Kluyveromyces lactis: one gene and its partner. The protein of the gene in region 1 purifies or fractionates together with the protein of each later gene. This does not show direct contact. Links are inferred from orthologs where the notes say so. Each region holds a gene or a part of one and is shown on either strand. Other genes may lie near its edges.

Evidence for each region.
Region 2: the proteins of PFK2 (region 1) and SIS1 purify together in Saccharomyces cerevisiae (affinity purification with mass spectrometry; 3 studies listed by BioGRID). This does not show direct contact. The link is inferred for Kluyveromyces lactis from reciprocal best matches to the Saccharomyces cerevisiae genes PFK2 and SIS1.

What each region holds. Positions count from the first base shown.
Region 1 is NC_006042.1:600,603-611,764, reverse strand, and holds PFK2 (6-phosphofructokinase subunit beta), read right to left. Parts: upstream 3,086-11,162; coding exon 269-3,085; downstream 1-268. Other genes in the region: lactoylglutathione lyase GLO1, read right to left, coding at 3,772-4,788; DEAH-box RNA-dependent ATPase PRP2, read right to left, coding at 6,143-8,776; uridine kinase URK1, read left to right, coding at 9,035-10,414; PHO91 (Pho91p), read right to left, coding at 10,637-11,162. UniProt on the Saccharomyces cerevisiae protein: Catalyzes the phosphorylation of D-fructose 6-phosphate to fructose 1,6-bisphosphate by ATP, the first committing step of glycolysis.
Region 2 is NC_006040.1:406,585-416,438, reverse strand, and holds SIS1 (type II HSP40 co-chaperone SIS1), read left to right. Parts: upstream 1-3,759; coding exon 3,760-4,824; downstream 4,825-9,854. Other genes in the region: RFX1 (Rfx1p), read left to right, coding at 1-1,567; TOR complex subunit LST8, read right to left, coding at 2,166-3,077; pseudouridine synthase CBF5, read right to left, coding at 5,710-7,134; KLLA0_D04774g (uncharacterized protein), read right to left, coding at 7,593-9,854. UniProt on the Saccharomyces cerevisiae protein: Required for nuclear migration during mitosis. It is required for the normal initiation of translation. Might mediate the dissociation of a specific protein complex of the translation machinery. Essential for viability.

The DNA of each region.
Region 1 (11,162 bases):
TACGTTGACTACGTATGTAATAGCATGTTATTTTTTTATTTATTTATTGTTTTTTTAAGCACCGCATCGATCAGTATAAAAATGAGTAACTAGGGTAGGAAGGACTCTTTCCAGAGAAAAGGGATTATAAATTGATACCAGGAGGTGAGTAGTAACTAGATATGTCATAAATGTTAATCGTTTGTCATTGAGAGTTATAAATGCAGTTTACATAATAATATACATCCATTTCAGTGGGAATTTTGAGGAAGCAGATACGTTTTTAATTTCATAGCTTTTTTCTTCCTACAAGATGGTCCGCAATGGTTCTAGTCGATTGCCAGTGAATAGTCTTTGGGGTTCTCTTGTTCAATTCAGTTTCAAAATCGTACAATTGTCTGATTGAACTAAAGACAATGTCAGATCCCTTAACACCTAAGACTGATGCAGTTGCTATGATCTTTGGTGTATCAAAGTCGAAGTCGTCATCATCCAGATTTGCCTCAGCTGCTAATACCTTGTGTTGAGACTCAATGAAACCAACAGCTCTGATGGCGAATCTAGTACCCCTTGTTCTATCAATTGGAGAAGGTAGACCACCTTGTTGGACATGACCTGGGATGGCACATTTGGCATCGAAGTGACCTTCAGCTTCTTGAGTAATGACCTCAGCCAACACTTCAGGAGTAAGCACCTTAGAGGCATTGGTGGACTTCAAGATAAGTTGTCCGAATTTACCTCTACCTTCAGCTTCGCTGAATGATTCCGTCAAGTTTTCAATATCTTGCGTTAGTTGCTCCAAACTTATACCTTCTTCTGGGACATAGGAAACTTGGGCACCCACAGCAACAGCGGCATGTGTGGCTAGATACCCAGAGTTACCACCTTGAACATCAACAACAAAAACTCTACCACGGGTTGATGCAGCAGATTGCTTGATAATATCACAGTATTGCATCAAAGAGTTCAGAGCGGTATCCGAACCGAGGGAGTACTCGGTACCCGGAACATTGTTGGATAAAGTGGCTGGAATCAAAACCATTGGGATTCTGAAGGCTGTATAGTTCTCTCTTGCTCTTTCCAATTGATGCAAGGAGACAAACGCTTCAAAACCACCGACAATGATGATACCATCGAATCCATACTTTTGGAAATAGTAAGCAATCAAACCGATATCAGCTTCTTCAGGAGTATGTCTGTTGGTACCGATTTCAGAACCACCGCGGGATTGCCATCCCAAAAGATCCTTCCAGTTTAGAGATCTCACGGATTCGTGTCTAGTTAACCCAGTCCAACCATTGTAAATTGCATATGGTTTGTGACCTTGAGACATACAGTACGTAGCCATCGAATAAACTGCAGAGTTCATACCACCAGCTGGGGCACCGACATTGACAATAGCAATCTTCATATGGGTGTGTTCTGGTAACTTAGGTTCGATATGGTCAGCAGAATTGATTGCCATGAAATTATCCAAATGCTCAACAAATTCCGAATCTCTCAATTGCATAGCCTTTTTGAAATCCTTGGAATGGATTGCTTCCGCAACAGATTTGGTTAGTTGAACTGATTCAACCAAAGGCTTACGAGTGATCTTGTTCTCATTGATAGCGATCAAAGGAGAAGGGGTATCTGGAGTTGATTCCAAAACTGCATTGACAGCTTCCACACCTTGCAATGTTGCAAGAATACGGTCATAAGCAACGGCTGTACCACCTCTCTGGACATGTCCTAGTGTAGTAATTCTACAATCTAGACCCAATCTGTCCACTAAGACTTTATGAACGTCCTTAGATGAGATAGGAGTTAAGTCTGCTGAAATGGCACCTTCAGCAACAATAACGATAGTTGTTCTCTTACCTCTTGACCTATGCTTTGAAATGATATCACACATTTGATCTTGCCATTCTCTTGATGATGCAGGTTTCTCTGGAATCAAGATGTAATCAGCTGATGTAGAGATACCAGCCAATAAAGCTAACCAACCACAATTTCTACCCATAACTTCCACCACAAAGGCTCTGGAATGGGAGTTAGCGGTGGCCTCAATGTAATCAATTGCTTGACAGATACGATCCAATGCCGAGTAGGCACCAATGGTAGCATCTGTAGTAGACATATCATTATCGATGGATCCAACAGTACCACAAATATTCAAGTGCTGGTACCTATCGAATTGAACTTTGTTAATTCTTCCTTGATCTAAGAGTTCACGAATCAAAGAAGGCCATTCAGATCTGAATAAATCAGCACCAGTGAGGGAACCGTCACCACCACACACGATCAAAGCGTCGACACCAGCTTCGATTAAGTGAAGAGCACCAAGTAACCTTCCCTCTCTCTCTCTAAATTCTTTACAACGAGCAGTACCAATGTTGGTACCACCTTCGCAAGACCAGTTACGTACTGTTTCCCAGTAAACCTGCTTGATATAATTTGGACCACCTTTTACAAGACCTTCGTAACCTTCCATGACTACGAAGGCATTACAACCCTTGAAAATAGCTGTTCTAACAATAGCTCTCACATTTGCGTTCATACCTGGCGCATCACCACCGGATGTCATAACGGCGATGGACTTTTGCGCTTTCGCAGTCTTTGGAATCGCTGGATACGAGCTGTCAGTGGAAACACCAGAAGAAGCAATGTCTATTCTTGAAGATCTTGAGGAGATCAAAGAGGCCTCAACAGATTGCTTAGGCAGCGTAGGTTTGATAGAAATAGCATTTTTCGTTTCAGTGATACCAATGATATATCCGTTTGGATCCTTCAAATATATTTCAATTGGGTTGGTTTCGTTAGGATAGGCCTGAATCGTTTCACCAGCAGCCAAATCTCTGAAATGTTGGATATTTGTACATGAAAAAACCAATGCTGATGACACAATGGCCCTCCAATCTTTATCGTTAACAACATCCAATGGCTTGAAGCTGTTATCAACAACTAGCTTTAGAGTGATTAAAGAATTTGTCAATGTGCCAACTCGCTTGTCATGAACTAATTGCAAATACTTTTCGTAAAACTTGACTGTCTTATCATACAACCCTTGAGTCGTAACTAATTTGTACGCTTCCGTACCGTTCAACAATGGCAAAGATTGTGTCATTGCAGTTTATTATTACTTGTATCAATATTTTCCTTTTTGTAATCGTTTGATTCTCGCTTAAAAGTTTGAAAACGTGCAGAGACCTAAATATACGTCTTTATCAACTTGATCCTCTTGCAAATTCTTCTGCTAACCTTGTTACGAGGAAACTGGTTACAAGTTTCGCTATACGCAGATTATTACTGATTAATGCAGTAACTTGTTTACTGGTTTGCAAGTCAGTAGAAGCAGAAGCACGAATCAGAAATTATTCCTCTGTCCAAGCTTACAAAGTAGTTTTCATTTATACTAAATAGTCAAAAGTTCAATATCCTTTTCCCTTCCTTTAATGTGGATTGCATGATGATGGGTTTCGTGAGCATGTAGGATCACGAGCTTCCACTTTTCGGAGCACCACCAAAATTGGAATCCGGAAAATAACGAACCACTTATCTTACAGGAATCTCTGAAGTTAGTGGATGCTGCATGTTTGCTGCGTAATGAAAAATTAAAAAAAAAAAAATGTGAAGAGTTATATTAATCTCAGTCACGTGCTTTCATGTCACTTCAAAAGGATATCTTTATCAGTATTACCGGCAGTTATGGCTGTAATATGGCGATTGAACGGTGTCATATCGAATATTGTATACAACGATACATAAATTTGCATTTACATTTCAAATAAATAGATGAGAGTTTGGTGCTCTTCAAACGCCCAATCCGTATGGGACGACTTCGATGGAGTATCCATCAGGGTCCTTGATGAAGGCGAGATTCTTCATTTTACCTTGATTGAACTTTGGAGACCATTGGATATCTGGGTATAGTTTCTCAATTTCTGCGCACAACGTAGCTGGATCCTTGTTTGAGATGCAGATGTGGCCGTACCCCTGTGGTTCAGTATTACCGGTGTGATAAGCGAAATCTGGATCATTTTCTGTCCCCCAGTTATGTGTCAACTCCAAGATACTTTCTCTTGAACCACGAGCAATTCCTTTTTGATCATTTTCGTAGCCTAAGAAGTATAGCGTGAATTTAGCATTTGAATGGTCACTAACGTCAAGGATTTTCATTCCTAGGACGTTTTGATAGAATTCAAGGGATTTGATTGGATCCTTGACTCTTACCATGGTATGGTTGAACTTGTAGTTGTTCCCCTCTCCAGATTCGTTGTTTTGAATCAATTCAATCCAGTACCCATTAGGATCTAATGCGAAAGCAATATTCCTTTGGCTACCGTCTGTCAATCTCTTCTTGAACTTGACGCCATTGGATTCCAATCTTTCACATTCAGCTTCTAGGTTAGAGACACTGAAGCAAATATGACCAAACCCACGGTGTGGTTCTTCATTACCGTTGTTCACCTTGTATGCTGGATCAGATTCAGTACCATAATTGTGGGTCAATTCCAAAATACCGTTTTCTCTAAAGACGTCAATGGCACCTTGAGAGTTGTTCGAAAACTGCTTATTAGGGAATGATAAGAAGTATAAATCAAACTTCATGTCAGGGAATTTCTTGTGATCTAATAGCTTCATACCAAATTGTTCCTGGTAGAACGCAACAGTGACCTTTGGATCCTTTACCCTGAAACATGTGTGGTTTAGCTTTAAGCTCTGGTCCGCTTGCGCAGACTCAACAATTTTTGGATAATATTTGGCAGTAGTTTCGGTACTCATTGGTCGTATATGCTTGAGGATGTTGAGTAATCTTTCCTTGAACATGTAGGTGGAACTACTACGTTTGGGATGAATTGATGGCTAGCCAATGGTAAAAAGGCATCTCAAGGTAACTCCTGTTAATATACAAAATTGGCTGGTCGCAAAATCCTATTTATTTTGCTATACAACGAGAAATCATTAATTTTTCAGTTTCTTTTCAATGAAAACATAACCTGACTGATGCAAAAGTGACGGTTAATAGTGCAGAGGATTTGCCATATTTAGCTTTGGATCCGATAGATAAGTGATCTGCCGTGACGCACATGAGCTTGTTATACGGAAAGGTGAGACCTTTGTTTTCTTAAAGCTTTTGCGTAGAACCCCAAATGATACGACACATTCCAGTTCCTTCATTGCAATCGACAGGATGCAGCATTCTGATTGCATTCGAGCCCCTACTCATTATCATAGTGGTATCTCACTTTGTATCTTTTCTCACTCTTTTCTAATGAAAAAATACTCACTCAACTTTAAGCTTTACTAAAGTCTAACTGATATTTCTTCTTTTAATAAATACAAGAGTATTTATTTGGCGAAACAGTTTAAACTATATACCGAAAAGAATAACTAAGTTGATTATCTTGTCAAATTAGAACGGCTTGATAAAGACTGGATGTACTTTTGATATATCTCAGTATATTTTCCCTTCTGTTCAGCTGAATGTTGAAGGTGTTGTAGAATGTAGATATCAGTATCCACAGCGGTGGAAGATAGCTGGAAACTGAACAAAGATAAATACAGATTCAAAGCGACATATTCCAATTTTCTAATATTTAGAAGAGTAGTCAGAAACTTTGCTTTGCGACTCTCGCAAAATAAACCTAAAACTGAACAAACTGGGTTTTTGTACTGTTTTTTCTGAGAACTGTATCATTATGCATGATTTTCATACGATAGGAACGCTTCCTGCAGAAAACTTCAGGCAACAGACTCATTTTTTACCCGCCTTTAGCGTTCAACGCACTAGTTATACTTGGAGGTAAGTCACATCGTTGTAATAATTATCTTTTAGTGTGGTTTGTGTTAAAGTGTGATTTAATGCTTATCGTGTTCAATTTAAACTTTCACTGAATTTCAGGAATTCTTTATTGAATAACTATCCATAAATCGCATTATCTCAATCCCTTAGAATACAGAAGAAGAAAGTACAAAAAATCTATACTAACACCTGAATCGGAAGCTAGCAAATTGTTGAACATTAGAAGTAATTAGAAAAATAACTGATTTGATTTCGATTATTCTACAATTGGTTTTTCAGAACATAGGTGGACTCGCCAACAATTTGGCGTGATGTTCTGAAAAGCTTCTTAGAAAATGTTGCATATGTTACTCCTCAATTAACTGGGGATACAAAGATTCATTTATAAATATGTGGCATAGTTTCAGTGAGCCATTCGTATTTATCAAATGTTATACAATCTCTAATGAATTCTTTACTTGTAAGCATCAAAGATTGATAGAGGATGTATTTCATTGGTTTTCCTTCTTGTTTCATTCGGTTGAAAATAACACTAGATGGGTGAACGCTGACGGATAAATCTTGCTTTATGTTAGTATAGCCTTGTTTAGAGAGCTTTGCTATATTTGTTGGAAATCCTGATATAAAGCATTTAATGATTTTTGCTTCAATGACGGAACGAGGCATGTTTTCTTTGAGTTGAGTAAGGTTTTGGTCATGCTTAAGCAGAAAATCTTGTTTCCTACAATATTTCCATAATTGTTGTCGTATCCTCAATACTCGTTTCATTGTTTTATGTTGCAACTTGAAATCTTGACACCATCTTCGTGAGTATCCATTCTCTTCCCATTGTTCATATATCCACAAGTATAGCATGTGGTCACTTGACTGCATCAATGACCCAAAAAGTTTTGTCTTTTCTTCCGAATTGAGTCCCGGTACAAATATAGAGTTGCTCTCTTGAAGCATAGAGACAATCGTAACAATTTCAGGTAGAACACCATTACAGCTTTCTTCAAACACGCTAGAATATATTACCTTGGCATATTCAGGATCACATGGGAAATCACACATAACTTGTCCTACTTTTGTGATTGCACCTCTGCTATTGAGAGCGCCAATGGCATACAAATTTTCGAGGGCTTCGCTTAGCTGGATAGTTTTTGGTTTGTCCAACATTGGAAAGTGAAGTAAGTCGTTGATACCTAGTGAAAGCAAAAGTAGAACCACTTGATTCAATTTTGTTCTCAAAATCTCTGGCTTTGGTACTTTTTCAAGCTCATTGTAGTAAGACCATTTTGTAAATAATCTAAAACATTTGCCTGGACCCAATCTCCCTGCTCTCCCTGCTCTCTGGTCAACAGATGCCCTAGAACATGGAACTGTCACTAGCTTTGAAACTCCTCCTGAATAGGATTGTTCCTTCACAAAACCTGGATCTACCACGAACTTTATGCCGTCAATTGTTAACGATGTCTCTGCAATATTTGTCGCAAGCACTACTTTTCTGCAGTTCTTCGGTGTAGGTTCAAAAATTTTGGATTGTTGTTCTTGAGGAAGATTGGCATATATAGGTACTACCAAGAGATCTGGAAATTTTGTATTATCAAGCTTGGAAAGAATCTCAAGTAATTTTGTTTGCATCGATTCTATTTCCTCTTGACCAGTTAGAAATACCAAAATATCACCTGGTAATTTTTGGGTGGTATGAATTTGAAAGATGGTGGTGATCGCAGCATTTATATAGTTTCCTTCTGGTTGAAGTGTATAGTGAATATCCACAGGAAAGCGTCTACCAGGAACATTAAATATCGGACAATCAAAGAAGAACTTGGAGAATTTAGTAGCATTCATAGTTGCACTAGAAATTATAAGTCGAAGATCTTTTCTGTCTTGTAAAATACCCCTTAGCAACCCCAACAAAATATCTGTAGATAACGTGCGCTCGTGAGCCTCGTCAATCATTATTGCACTATACGATGATAGTTGTGGGTCATTAAGAAATTCTCGAAGTAACATCCCATCTGTCGTATATTTTAAGATTGTTTTATCAGGCGTTGTTCGGTCATCAAATCTGATATTATAACCGACTTCTTTCCCCAATATTACATCCATTTCATCAGCAACTCTTGAAGCAATACTAGTTGCAGCAACTCTACGTGGTTGTGTGCAAACCACGCATTTTCCATCGTTGGTGTAACCATCCTCCACAAGGAACTGTGGAAGTTGGGTGGTTTTCCCAGACCCCGTTTCACCAACAACAATCAAAATTTGATGTTGCCGAATACTATCCAAAATTTCTTGTCTATATTGATAAACTGGCAATGACTTCCTCGTTTCTTTAATACTCTTCATCTTGTTAATTTGTTCTTCTAACGCTTCAGCCAATCTACCGTCTTCAACAGGTTCTAAAATATCTGTCGTATCATCAGTAAAATCAATCATGGACTCAGGATCAAAAACAAATTCGTAATTATCTGAATCCTTAACTTTGATTTCATCTGCATCTGCCTTAATTACACTTTTCTTCATTTGCTCCTCTTCCCAGTTCACCCTATCGGTTTTGTTTCGAAGTTTGGCGGTCAATAGTTGTTTCTTTGATGCGACCTCATCTTGCATTTTGAATCCACTTGTATCTCCATTTTCAGCATAGTCTTTTCCAGTTTCATTTAAGAGCTTCAATAGCTCTCTTTTCAGCGATATCTCTTCTCGTTCACTAACAGTTAAGTTATTCCAACCATAACGTTTTATGTCATCTTCTAAAATCTGAAGATCTTTAACCAGCCAGTGCAACTGAGAACGCTGTCTCTTAGTCAAAACTTTTTGCTCAACCATTGACTTAATCGAGTTAACCGAATAATGAGCCTTACCATCCTTCAATGAAGGGTCCGGGCTACTGTCCAAAACTTGATCTGCAGGTGAGAATGAGTTAGTATTTGCATTTACCGATTCTATGCTTTCATAAGTTCTCTTCGCTCTGCGCTGTCCTGATCCCGTAAGTTTAGTACCATTTTCATCACCTGAGGTTCCCATAGTATGAACTGCGATTCGGTATGCTGCGAGAGCGTTCTACCTGATTTCGTAGCGCTTATTTCTTCTTCTTCCCTCACCTTTAGTTTCTAATCGTGAAAGGTACATCGAGTGGCTTTCTTGCAATATCAAATGTTGAAAACTATGCCAAATGACTGATAGAAACCTTCCAGATAAACATTATCTGAATCAGAAAACAGACATAGACAGTTCCAGGCATAGGACATTTAGTGTTCATAAAACGCTTGCAAGGCGTCCAGAATGAACTCTTCTGGCTATATACCACCTTGGACAACACCGTATGTTATTGGTATTGGAGGGAGTTCAGGTTCTGGAAAGACGAGTGTTGCTACCAAACTCGTGACAAGAATCAACACTCCATGGACAGTATTAATATCGTTGGACAATTTCTATAAACCGTTAACCGTCGAAGAACGAAAGCAGGCTTTCGAAAATAACTACGATTTCGATAAACCGGATTCAATAGATTTGGATCTAGCTTATCAATGTATCCTGTCTTTGAAAGAAGGTAAGAAGGTGAAAATCCCAACCTATTCGTTCACAGATCATGATAGAATTCCAAATAAGTTTTTAACCATCTATGGTGCGAGTGTTATTGTTATTGAAGGAATTTACGCATTATATGACCAAAGACTTCTTGATTTAATGGATTTGAAGGTTTACGTGGATGCAGATTTAGATATATGTTTAGCTAGAAGATTGACAAGGGATATCATCTCTCGTGGGAGAGACTTGCATGGTTGCATAAGACAATGGGAGAAGTTTGTTAAACCAAATGCGGATAGGTTCGTGAAACCAACCATGAAGGCAGCAGATGCAATCATCCCATCCATGTCAGATAACAGCATTGCGACTGAGATGTTACTTAATCACATTCAGTCTAAATTGCAGCTCAAATCGCAGCAGCATTTAGCAGAACTTCAAAAGCTCGAGTCATACGCTGTGTCGATTGATTCTTTAAATATAATTCATAAGTTGAGACAAACTAATCAGGTGAAGGCTCTACAGACTATATTGTTAGACAAAAGCGTTTCAAGAGATGACTGGGTATTCTATTTTGACAGGTTAGCAACAATACTTTTATCCTTTGCATTGGACGATATACCTACGAAATTGAAAACGACTAAAGTTATTACGCCGACAGGAAAACAGTTGGATAATCCAGTTTTTGTTGACTTTGACCGTGTCACAGCTATAAATATTGTTAGATCTGGCGACTGTTTCATGAGATCTCTAAGAAAGACAATTCCTAGCGTCGCAGTTGGTAAGCTACTTATTCAATCCGATTCCAGAACAGGGGAACCACAATTGCACAGTTTATTTATTCCACCAATGATCGAAAATTATAACCAAGTGCTACTGATGGATGCGCAGATAATTTCAGGTGCAGCGATAATCATGGCAATCCAAGTTCTTACTGACCACAATGTTGATCTCAAGAAGATTAAGGTTGTAGTTTATCTAGCGACAGAAACCGGTATTAGAAGGATAGTTAATGCTACTAATAATCAAGTTGAAATATACGCTGGAGAAATTATTTCCGATGACAAAATCAGAACTAATCAATGTAATTGGGCCAGAAAGCGGTTCGTTGCCTCAAATTACTTTGGGTGCAAGTAGTCCTTCCTGTTTTGTTGTTTTTTTTTAATTTGTAATGCATAACTAATATTTTCCCCTAAGTATCTGCAATTGTAGTAGTTTCAAATTCTTACCAGTTATCGACTGTCATTGAAAGGAACTAAGGAAGTGTAAGGGTTTACGGCTTTACCAGTAATAGAATGAAGCCAAATATAAGAACATACTAAATATTAAAAAAAGAAAATTAATACAGATATCCGACTATTAGTATCCTATTACTTTCATGAGGGCATAGCCAACAGTAACGATAACTGAATATGCAACGATACTTGCTGGCACACCCCTGGTGATAAAGTTATTAACCGACAAATATCGATCACCGACATCATCAATCATAGAAATTGCAGTGACATTAGGGAAACCGGAAGTAGGTAATCCCATTGCTGCTGAACATAGGAACGCGGCAACCATTATTAATAACCTTGAATGGTCTCCACCAGGTAGATTTGATCCGATCTCTTTCATTAATGGGACGATGATCATAGCAGCGACTGTATGAGAGACAAAAGTAGCCATAGTCAATATGACGATGCCGAATATCAATACGATTTGGAAAACCGGTTTAGTTTCAATTGACTCTTTGATTATCGATGCAATAGTTGAGAGTAAGCCTGAAGAGGTGACAGCTTTGCCCAAAGTAGTTCCACCCATCGCTAAAATGACAATAGTCCACATGAAATTGTTGAAATCATCAGAATCTAAAATACCAGTTCCGAAAAACAACAACATT
Region 2 (9,854 bases), on another chromosome or scaffold:
TCAATCGGCAGAACAGCACAGAGAACGCGAGAGGCAAGTGTATGCCTTAATATGGCTAATGAGCAACTGTGTGACAGACACTGAATCTTACGTCCGCCGCGGTAGGATTTTTGCCCAATACGCGGCGTCTTGTGCTCAAAACCAGTTGAAACCCTTATCTCAGGCCACTCTTGGTAAATTGATCAGAGCCTTGTTCCCATTCTTGAAAACAAGAAGATTGGGTATGAGAGGACAATCAAAGTACCATTACTGTGGACTCAAGCTTGTTTCTCCTTTCGCTACTTCTTCAGATTTAACACCGACAGGGTCGTCGAATAGTGACACGTCAAGTGCAATGTTGTCTACCAGTGGGACAACTTCAAGTCATTCAAATAATGAAAATTCAATATCTTTGAAGTATGAGGGTGATTCTCAGCATTCTATAGACTCACAATCCGATCATAGCAATGGAATAAAATCCATACAGCCAAATGCCATGTTGGGGAAACAATCTTCGGTAAGTGATCCATTAAACCAGTTATCCGAAGATATTTCATTGGACGTGACAGGAAATATTCAAGGACATGATGCTGGTGTTAAACCGGTATTATCGGCTGAAACAAGTTTTAATACGTGTTATGATGAAGGATACGCTTTACTACCAGATTTCTTCGCAGTAACATCAGAAGCCAAAGTGGAACTACCTATTGAATTTCCAGACTTGCAAAAGTTTTTACCGGTAAATCAGTCAGTTGATCCTGATATTGCTTCCAGTGTTAACTCCCTATACCAAGTTTATTGTAATACTTTGTTTGAAAATATACGGTTCATGAAGTTTGATGATCTTCCATTAACATTGCAATCATTTTCATCGAGTTCAATATCATCAAAAATGTACAACTTGTTTATTTCTGAAGAATTGTACAGATGGGTTCATCAATCAGACCTACTTACTCACAAGGCTCTGACCAAGATGCTTTCGAGTTTGATTGTTGACTTCAACGAAATTCCAGAGGTTGTGTTCAACAAATTGTCAGACTTTTCAAATGAGTATATGAAGATGGTTGAGCAATCTACCATGGATTTACCATTACCGATGGTAACCTTCAAAAAGAGTGTGGCACAGGCGTTTTGCCGTCTTGTGAAAAGGCTCGTGAAAGTGATTGACAACAGCAAGAAATTATCAAATATCATGAGTAAGCAAGAGAATAGATTATCAATGTTATACGTCTGGGAACAGAACGTTAAAGTGTCCGAACTAATAAACCAAGAGTTTTCTTACTTCAACCACCCTGCTTTAGAAAAAGATATGCAAGAACTCTTTTCAGTGCAGTTATTGGAACTTCTTAAGAAAACGGATGAGGATTTTGATCTAATCTCTTTCGTTAAAATGGTTTTCGGAGTGCTTTCAAACAAGAGTCTACCTCCTAGATTACTAGTATTGACTTTCAATTCTTTCACCGCTGCTTGTACGAAAGAAATATTAACGAACTCAAACGAAAATTTTGGATTGTGGTGGATGTTCAAGGCCTTTCTAGATGAATGGATCTTTTGGTATGCCGAAGTTGGAGGATTCCTCAAAGATTGAACCTCTGAACTTTAATTTTGATAGATTGTTTTTCTACGCTAAAGTTACCTTTCCCACTAAGAATATTACTCTTTAAACCTACTCCATCTCCTATTCGTTGTTTTGTTTTTGTTTTTCTTGTTTAAATTCGATTTACCTGCCTTTATTACCATTCGTTATCGTTTCTATTCCTTTAATCTATTATTCTATTCAGAAACGAATAAAAAAACGAAAATTGGACTTGTTTTCCCATCTAATTGAACCATTCCTAATCTTCCCATTAATTTTGTATCTATTACCATACCCATTCTTGCATTTACGTGGTAATTGTCGTTCTGCTCTTTTCCTTTTCATGATCATTAATTGTACTATTGTTTTTGGACCTGTCAATTCATTCGACGACTCAAGTGAGCTCCAAAACGAATGCCACAACCAACTTCTGATCCTGGCGAAACTTTCCAGTATCATCGCAGGTCATCTTTATATATATCTAAGTGTTGAAAGTAAATAAGAGTTTTGATATCCATAGTTTTGATCTTTTTATTAAATTACTACATCAACGAAACCACAATAAAATGCTATGTCGCATATCCCTTCTTTAGAGATATTGATTAAAGTTTCATACATCGTTAAGAGCAACACAAACAGCACCTTTGTGATGTCCTCCATACTGCCTTACAATTTCACTTGTGGAAAGGTCCCATAATCTTACATAATGATCAGAGCATGCTGTGACTAGGTATGCACTGTCTGCTGAAAACGCACAATCCCACACCCATCTCTGATGACCATCTAAAGTGGTTTCAAGTTCAAAATTATCCTCTATATTCCATACTCTAGCTGTATGGTCTGCTGAACATGTTGCTAAATGTTTTACATCCGCCGATAGTAGGACCCTGGTAATATATTTAGTATGCGATTTGAATTTAGTTACGGGCTCCAAAGTGGAAGCATCCGTGTGATGAGGCATCTTCCATACATAACAGTTCCCTTTGTTATTTCCTGCAACAAGCATCGATCCGTCGCTTGCAACGGACAACGACTGTAATGGCGTGTTATCTTCTGGTGTCAGCTGGTTTGTGCACTGGTTTTCACCAAGATCCCAAATCCTGATATTCCCATCCTGATCGCAGGAAATCAATTCCCCTTGGTTCGGATGTATCGCTACTTCATTGACAGGTGCATTATGCTTGTAATTCCTTTGCACAGATGGGGACCGTACATCCCAAACCTTAATAGTCCCATCTTCACTAGACGATACCATCCATCGATTTTCCTGTTGAAATGCAATCGACGTTACGTTCCCTTTATGGCCTTCGAAAGAGGACACCGGATTTGGATTATTCGACCGTATATCATAAAGACGGACGTGTAAATGACCAGCAGCAGCCAAATATTTCTTATCGGACGTAATCTCTAATCGATTCACTTGGGAATCTGCATGTTGAATGGTTCGTGAACAGACTCCAGTCAAAGCTTCCCAGAACCTAATTGTGTGGTCGTATCCAGCACTCGCTAGAATAACAGACATGGCAATATTGAAGTTAGTCTGACCGTACACAATAAGAAACCTCTACCTTGTTCACAGGGGAGAAAAAGCCTTGAAAACTCCTCAGATTCCTTAAGACTTTCTTTCATCTAGTATATTGCATATTCTTTATCACATTAAACCATAATTTGTCAATATTCATGATTGAGATATAAACAACAGCAATTGAAACAAAAGTGGAGGCATAGAGATAGCCACAAGATTGTGTAGTGGCTAATGTCATTGAATGACACCTGATTTGCGGCTTTGTGATGACAGATTTGTATTGGTGGGAAACTTCTATATCACGTGATTGTCACATGAATCTCGCGTGCTTAAAGCATTCATGTTTTTTTACTTCTAGAAGGTTCCAGGGTATACTCTGAAAGAACATGATCGGTTGCAACAGAACTGAACCTGAATATATAGGAATGAAATGTTATATAAAGGTTTTCAAAGAACAGGATGTTTTTCGTTCAAAGATTATTGGTCGTTGGTATTCGATCGACATGTTTAGAGAAGAGTTTTATTGCATCTTTTGTCCCATTGGTATCTCGAAACAGTGTAAACATTAACTGATTCTTTTAGTTTACTCTAATTCTTCTAGTTTAGATAGAGCTAATTTGAACTATCATTCGACATATATACAAAAGGACAATTACCAAATTTGAAACGTCGTAGGAGTATGGTTAAGGACACTAAATTATATGATTTGCTAGGAATTTCGCCTAGTGCAGGTGAAGCCGAGATTAAAAAAGGGTACAGAAAGGCTGCCTTGAAGTATCATCCAGATAAGCCTACAGGTGACACTGAGAAGTTTAAAGAAATCTCTGAGGCTTTTGAGATTCTTTCAGATGCTCAGAAGAGGGAAGTTTACGATACTTATGGTCTAGAGGCTGCTCGTGGTAATGCTCCTCAATTTGGAGGAGCGGGAGGGCCTGGTGGGCCTGGTGGGCCTGGAGGATTTTCTTCTGGTGGGTTTGCCGGGGGACATGCGTTCTCACAAGATGACGCTTTCAACATCTTTTCACAGTTCTTTGGTGGAGGAGGTGCTGCCGGAGGTGCTTCTCCATTTGGATTCTCTGCTAGCGGCGGGTCTGGTGATGATTTCGGGTTTGGAGGCAGTAGTTTCCATTCCTCTTCGGGCGGCATGCCAGGCGGTATGCCAGGTGGAATGCCAGGTGGAATGCCAGGTGGATTCAGTAGACAACAGGCTAGACCTGAAGAAGAAGTTGTTCAGGTCAATCTACCTGTGTCCTTAGAAGATTTATTCAGCGGTAAGAAGAAATCATTCAAGATCACAAGAAAAGGCGCCGGTGGTGTGTCCGAAAAGAACCAAATTGACATCCAATTGAAACCAGGTTGGAAAGCAGGTACCAAGATTACTTTCAAAGGTGAAGGTGACTATAATCCAAGAACTGGTGGTAGACAAACATTACAATTCGTTCTACAGGAAAAACCACACGAATTTTTCACCAGACAAGACAATGATTTGATTTACACTTTACCACTTTCTTTCAAAGAATCTCTTCTAGGTTTCTCCAAGCAAGTACAAACCATCGACGGTAAAACAATTCCAATCACAAGAACGCAGCCAATTCAACCTACTCAAACCTCAACATATCCCGGACAAGGTATGACACTGTCAAAGAATCCTTCCCAAAGAGGTGATTTGATTATTAAGTTCAAGATCGATTATCCAACCTCTTTAACACCTCAACAAAGACAAGCCATTATGGATAACTTCTGAATGAAAGATGAAGAATGTCTTTATAACGAAAATAAATCATAAAAGTATGACATGACGATTGCAAATTTAGACTTCTGACGGTGATCATGTTTACAATTCAACGTCTGCCAGAAATATTATCTTCCCACCATTATGGTTCTATGTCATATGTTTTCATTTCTTTAAATGTTTACTCCCATTAATTATTTCCAATTCAAATGTTCCATTCACATTCACTTCAGCAGAAGCAATCTTATCGTATGGCTACATTGTCTGTCGATTAATGCGTTAACTTTCTGACCACACTGTACACTATTTTCAAAAAAATATCCTTCGGTAAATGAAGCACGCAACATAAGTTGAGGACGCAATATAATATGCGAGAGAATACAAGGAGAATTATTCAATGATTGTTAATACTGGTAAAGTAAGAAACGGGACGTTTCATTGTGACACCTCGACTTCTGTTCACAATGTAACCATTTGCATAGATTTTAACCTTCATTTACCTTTTTATTGAGCAAATGACATCATGCAAATAAAAGACATACCAATCTGCAAGTTTCCCGACTTCTATTTGGTTCCGAACAATTGATGTCTGCCAAAAAAAAAAAAACTCCAAGTATTATTATCAAATCTTCTATCTACCTCATACATTTACCATTACTTTTTGCCATTACTTCAATTGAAGACGTAATGGTGTCTTCACACGCGCATAAATAATTTACAAATTTATATATACGAATACAATGATATACAACATCGACACAGGGTACAAAAAACAGTCGTGACGAAATACGTTTTTCAATGATTAAAAATATTCTACAGTGTACATAACCTAAATGATAAACTCTATGCAGTTTTGAAATTTCGATCGATGATATGAAGGACTTAGATTGTAGTCGTTTATTTCTTTGACTTCTTCTTCTTCTTCTCGGAAGACTCATCATCGTCAGCCTTTCTCTTCTTCTCCTTCTTCTCCTTCTTTTCCTTTTTCTCCTTCTTGTCCTTCTTCTCCTTCTTTTCCTTCTTGTCCTTCTTTTCTTCTGGTGTCTTTGATTCTTCCTTTGATTCTTCCTTCTGTTCGACTTCCTTCTTTTCTACTTCTTTGATCAGTGGTTTTTCTTCTGATTTGGATGCAGGGGCGGTAGTTGGTTCAGCATTCTCCAATGAAACGTAAGTCTTCTTCCAGGTCTCTGGAGTATTTTCGTTGGCACGGCCATATTTGTCTAGCTTACCGTCAGCCTTCATTTGTTTTTTCTTTTGGGCAATTGGACCAAGACCCCATCTTCTTGGATATAGGTCTCTTTCCATGATACATCTCTTAACCTTGGCAACAACTCCGTGGTCACAAGTAGCTAAATCGACAGTAGACATTTGAGCAATGGCAACTGCAATGGCCTCACCCTTGGTGGTGATTAATACAACTTCGTCATATAATTCAATACCTTCCTCATAACGAAGTAGACCTGGAATCATCAACTTGGCACCGTAACAAACAGCGTTAACAGCAGAATCTTTGACAACAATTCTTTTGTAACCGACTAATAGAGTTTCTAATGGTTGAATGATCTTTCTTAGGTAGGATTCATCCCTGGTGTTATCGTATACCCATTGTGCATCCATAACATCATGTAGGGTGACCAAGTTATCGTTTTCGGACAAAGCACCGGATCTAACACGACGCAACTCTTGCATATGGCCACCGACACCTAAAAGCATACCAAGATGGACACATAAAGTTCTCATATAAGTACCAGCTTCACAGGAAGCCCAGAAAACACCCAAGTTCCTCTTGTTGTCAAATTCGATCAAGTTGGAGTCATAAATGGTACGGACACGTAATTGACGCTTAACAGCAGAAATTAAAGGAGGTCTTTGGAACAAAGCACCAGTCAAATTTTCTAAACCTCTGCCCAATTCCTTCTCGTCCTTAAGGGCATCGTGCAATCTAACGATACAAACATACTCTTTACCAGCACCTTGTTGAGACTTGACCAATCTGGTAGCTCTGTCAACACAGACGATCAAACAACCAGTGACTTTAGGATCTAAAGTACCAGAATGACCTGTTTTTTCGCAACGCAAGATACGCTTGATCCAAGCAACAACTTCGTGAGAAGATGGGTTTGAAGGTTTGTCCAAATTGATGACACCAGAACTGATATATGACTTCAAATCTCTCTTCAAAGGAGAGGCACCAGCTGGAATTGGTGTGTAATGACCACTTCTGACTAATAGTTTGTCATAGTCCTTCAACAATAAAGGCCACTCACTAGTGTTACTAGATGGTGAAACACTCTCTGGCTTAATAACAAATTCGTCAGACATCGATCTCTATCTTACTTATTAGCTTTCTAACGAACAATCCAGTACACTATCTCCTTCAAATATCGAGAGAAAACAATAAAAGGATAGTAGCAACAATATCGTAAAGCAGAATCTACACTAAAGTGACAGTTTTTAGTCCAGTAAGATGAATCTACTTCTAATAGAACTCTATACTTTTCTTGTTAAAGCTCATCTCATCTCATCGTCTTCATCAAATTTTTTTCTTCAGGTAGAAAATTTTCAGATATCTCAAAAAGCAATTATTTCCGGGTAATGAATTATATTCACCTTGACGTTTAAGTATATATGACAGACATTGGAAATAGCATTGCCAAGTGAGAGTAGTTTTTATAGCCTTCTAGGAAGTGAGTTTGCATTTTTATTTAATGGACTAAACTAGCTGCTAATATGTTCATTATGTTAGGTTAAATTCTGTTAACTTAGTACGCTGTTTTCATTCAGATAGATTCCAAGTACTTGGCGTTATAGTTGTTCTTCAAAGCGCTAGCCCAGTTCCTAGTGGATAACTGTGCGATATTTGAAGTTGAATAATCTGTCTCAATTCCAGTTGAAAATATGGAATCTTCTTTGTCTGGCGATAGCTCTGATGTGTTTTGGTTTTGCTTCCACTCTCGGAGCTTTTGTATAATTTGTTTAGCGTTGTGTTTCGACCTTGAGGAACAGTTGCTATTCACATTGGCTACTTTAAGCTCACGGAGTGAATCATTAAAACCTTGTTTTTGTTCTGATATGTAGTGTAACTCTTCGTTTCTATTGTCTTTATTTTCTATGCCATCACTAACACTTGTAATGGTGATCGCAGGTTTGTATTCTGGTTTGGGCTTGTTGGAGACCATATTGTCTCTGATATTTTGGAACATATCTCTTTTCTTCATAAAATAATTCAAAGTCCGGTTTGTAGACCCGAATCTATCCACATTATTGCTGTATATGGCACTAAGCGCAGATTCTGCTTTAAGAGTAACTTTTAAGGCACTACTTAAAGTTTTCTCGTAATTAGTCCTGTAGCTTTGTAGTTCATTATGATACATGTCAGCATTTTTATCTATTTCACGTTTCATCGCTAACAACCTTTTTTGAAACTTCTCATTGAAAAATGCAAGGTCTTCCTTCTTCTTTTTGATAACCTCGTCATGTTTTGACTTTAAAACTATGTTTTCATTACTTAAAATTGCAACTTTTGTCTCAAGTCCCCTGTATCTGCTCTCATTATTTTTTATTTCTGTCACCTTGTTGTCTATTATCAGATCCAATAGACTGATACGGTGGTTTAACTTAACGATTTCCTCTTCTTTTGAATCCAATGCCTTCTCGTAGTCTGTTCTGTCCCAAACCTTTAAAATTCTGCCTCTTTCAGCCTTTGAGAGATCTTTTAATTTAGCAATTTCCCTTTCATGCTTCACTGACAAAAGCTCCAAATCCTTTGCCTTTGTCTCCACTTGCTTTTTCAAAGAACGATTTTCTACCTCCAATGAGCTTATTATAATGTTTTTTTCCGTGACAATGTCCTGTAATTGACGATATGCACTGGCAACTGCCTTCAAAGATTCATTTTCTCTCTCTAACAAAGAGCAATTCTCGGTATAGAACTCACATCTCTCTGTAAGTTCGTTCATTTCGGCATTATGTTCCAATTTTAGAATCATTTCGGTTTGCATTGTGCTGAAATATTGGCATATATCATTCAAATATACCATTAATGAATCAATTCTATCTTTTGTATCTTTCTGCCACTCTTCGTAAAACTCTTGACTGAAAAACAGATTTAAAACACCGGTCATGCCTTCCATTGCGGTATTCACAAGTTCTAATGATGAATTATTGTGCGCCTTTTGTCTAGAATACTGAACTTCTACCTCCTGTAAAGTACGTTCAAGATCATTCAACTTCTGAACATGTATAGTGGTCAACTTGGAAAATTCTTCCTGTTTACTCTCATGTGCAGTTGAGTCGATGAGGCGCTGCTTTTCTAATCTTTTCACCATATTTCTTAAGTGATTGTTCTCTTTCAATCCTACATTAATGTTTCTCCATAAAAAGCCTAATATTTTGGCTAAACATGGATGCAAGCACGTTAAGGATAGCCTTAGATCGTTACACTCCTTTAACTCTTCTGGGGCACCTACTAATTCGAATAATGCAGTCATCCTCTCCTTAAGTGATAGATCTGGGAATGGAACCGGTCCAAGTTTTGTAACATCTTCGAACTTGTTGTAACTGTCAGTATATTTGAAGATCCTATTAGATGTGGACAATACCCCATTTGAAGTAGGGGGAATAGTATGATTTTTATTCCGTTCTGTTGTGCATGGTGGAAGATTACTATCGAATAGCTGTATTTCGTGGCCATCTTGTGCAACAAACCCTACTTTTCTCCGTAGCTGAACCTTGGAACTTTCATGGTCGTTCTCGACACAAAAAGCAGGAGATTCTGGATCTGAAATTATCTTCTCCTTGTTCTCTGCATCTTTAAACTTTTGCAAAGGACTTGGTTCATTTATATTAAACACATTAGGATCAAATATACATTCCTTTTCGAGATCCTCATATCTAAATTTCACAGATTCCATGTAATATTTGGCAAATTTAGAGCATTTTTCCACGTACGTCTTTGATTCCCTATCGTTTTGAAGAAGCTTCTCGATCTTTGATAGCCTCGTGTTTCCATCTCCACAAAAATCTTGTTTATCTTTCGTTTC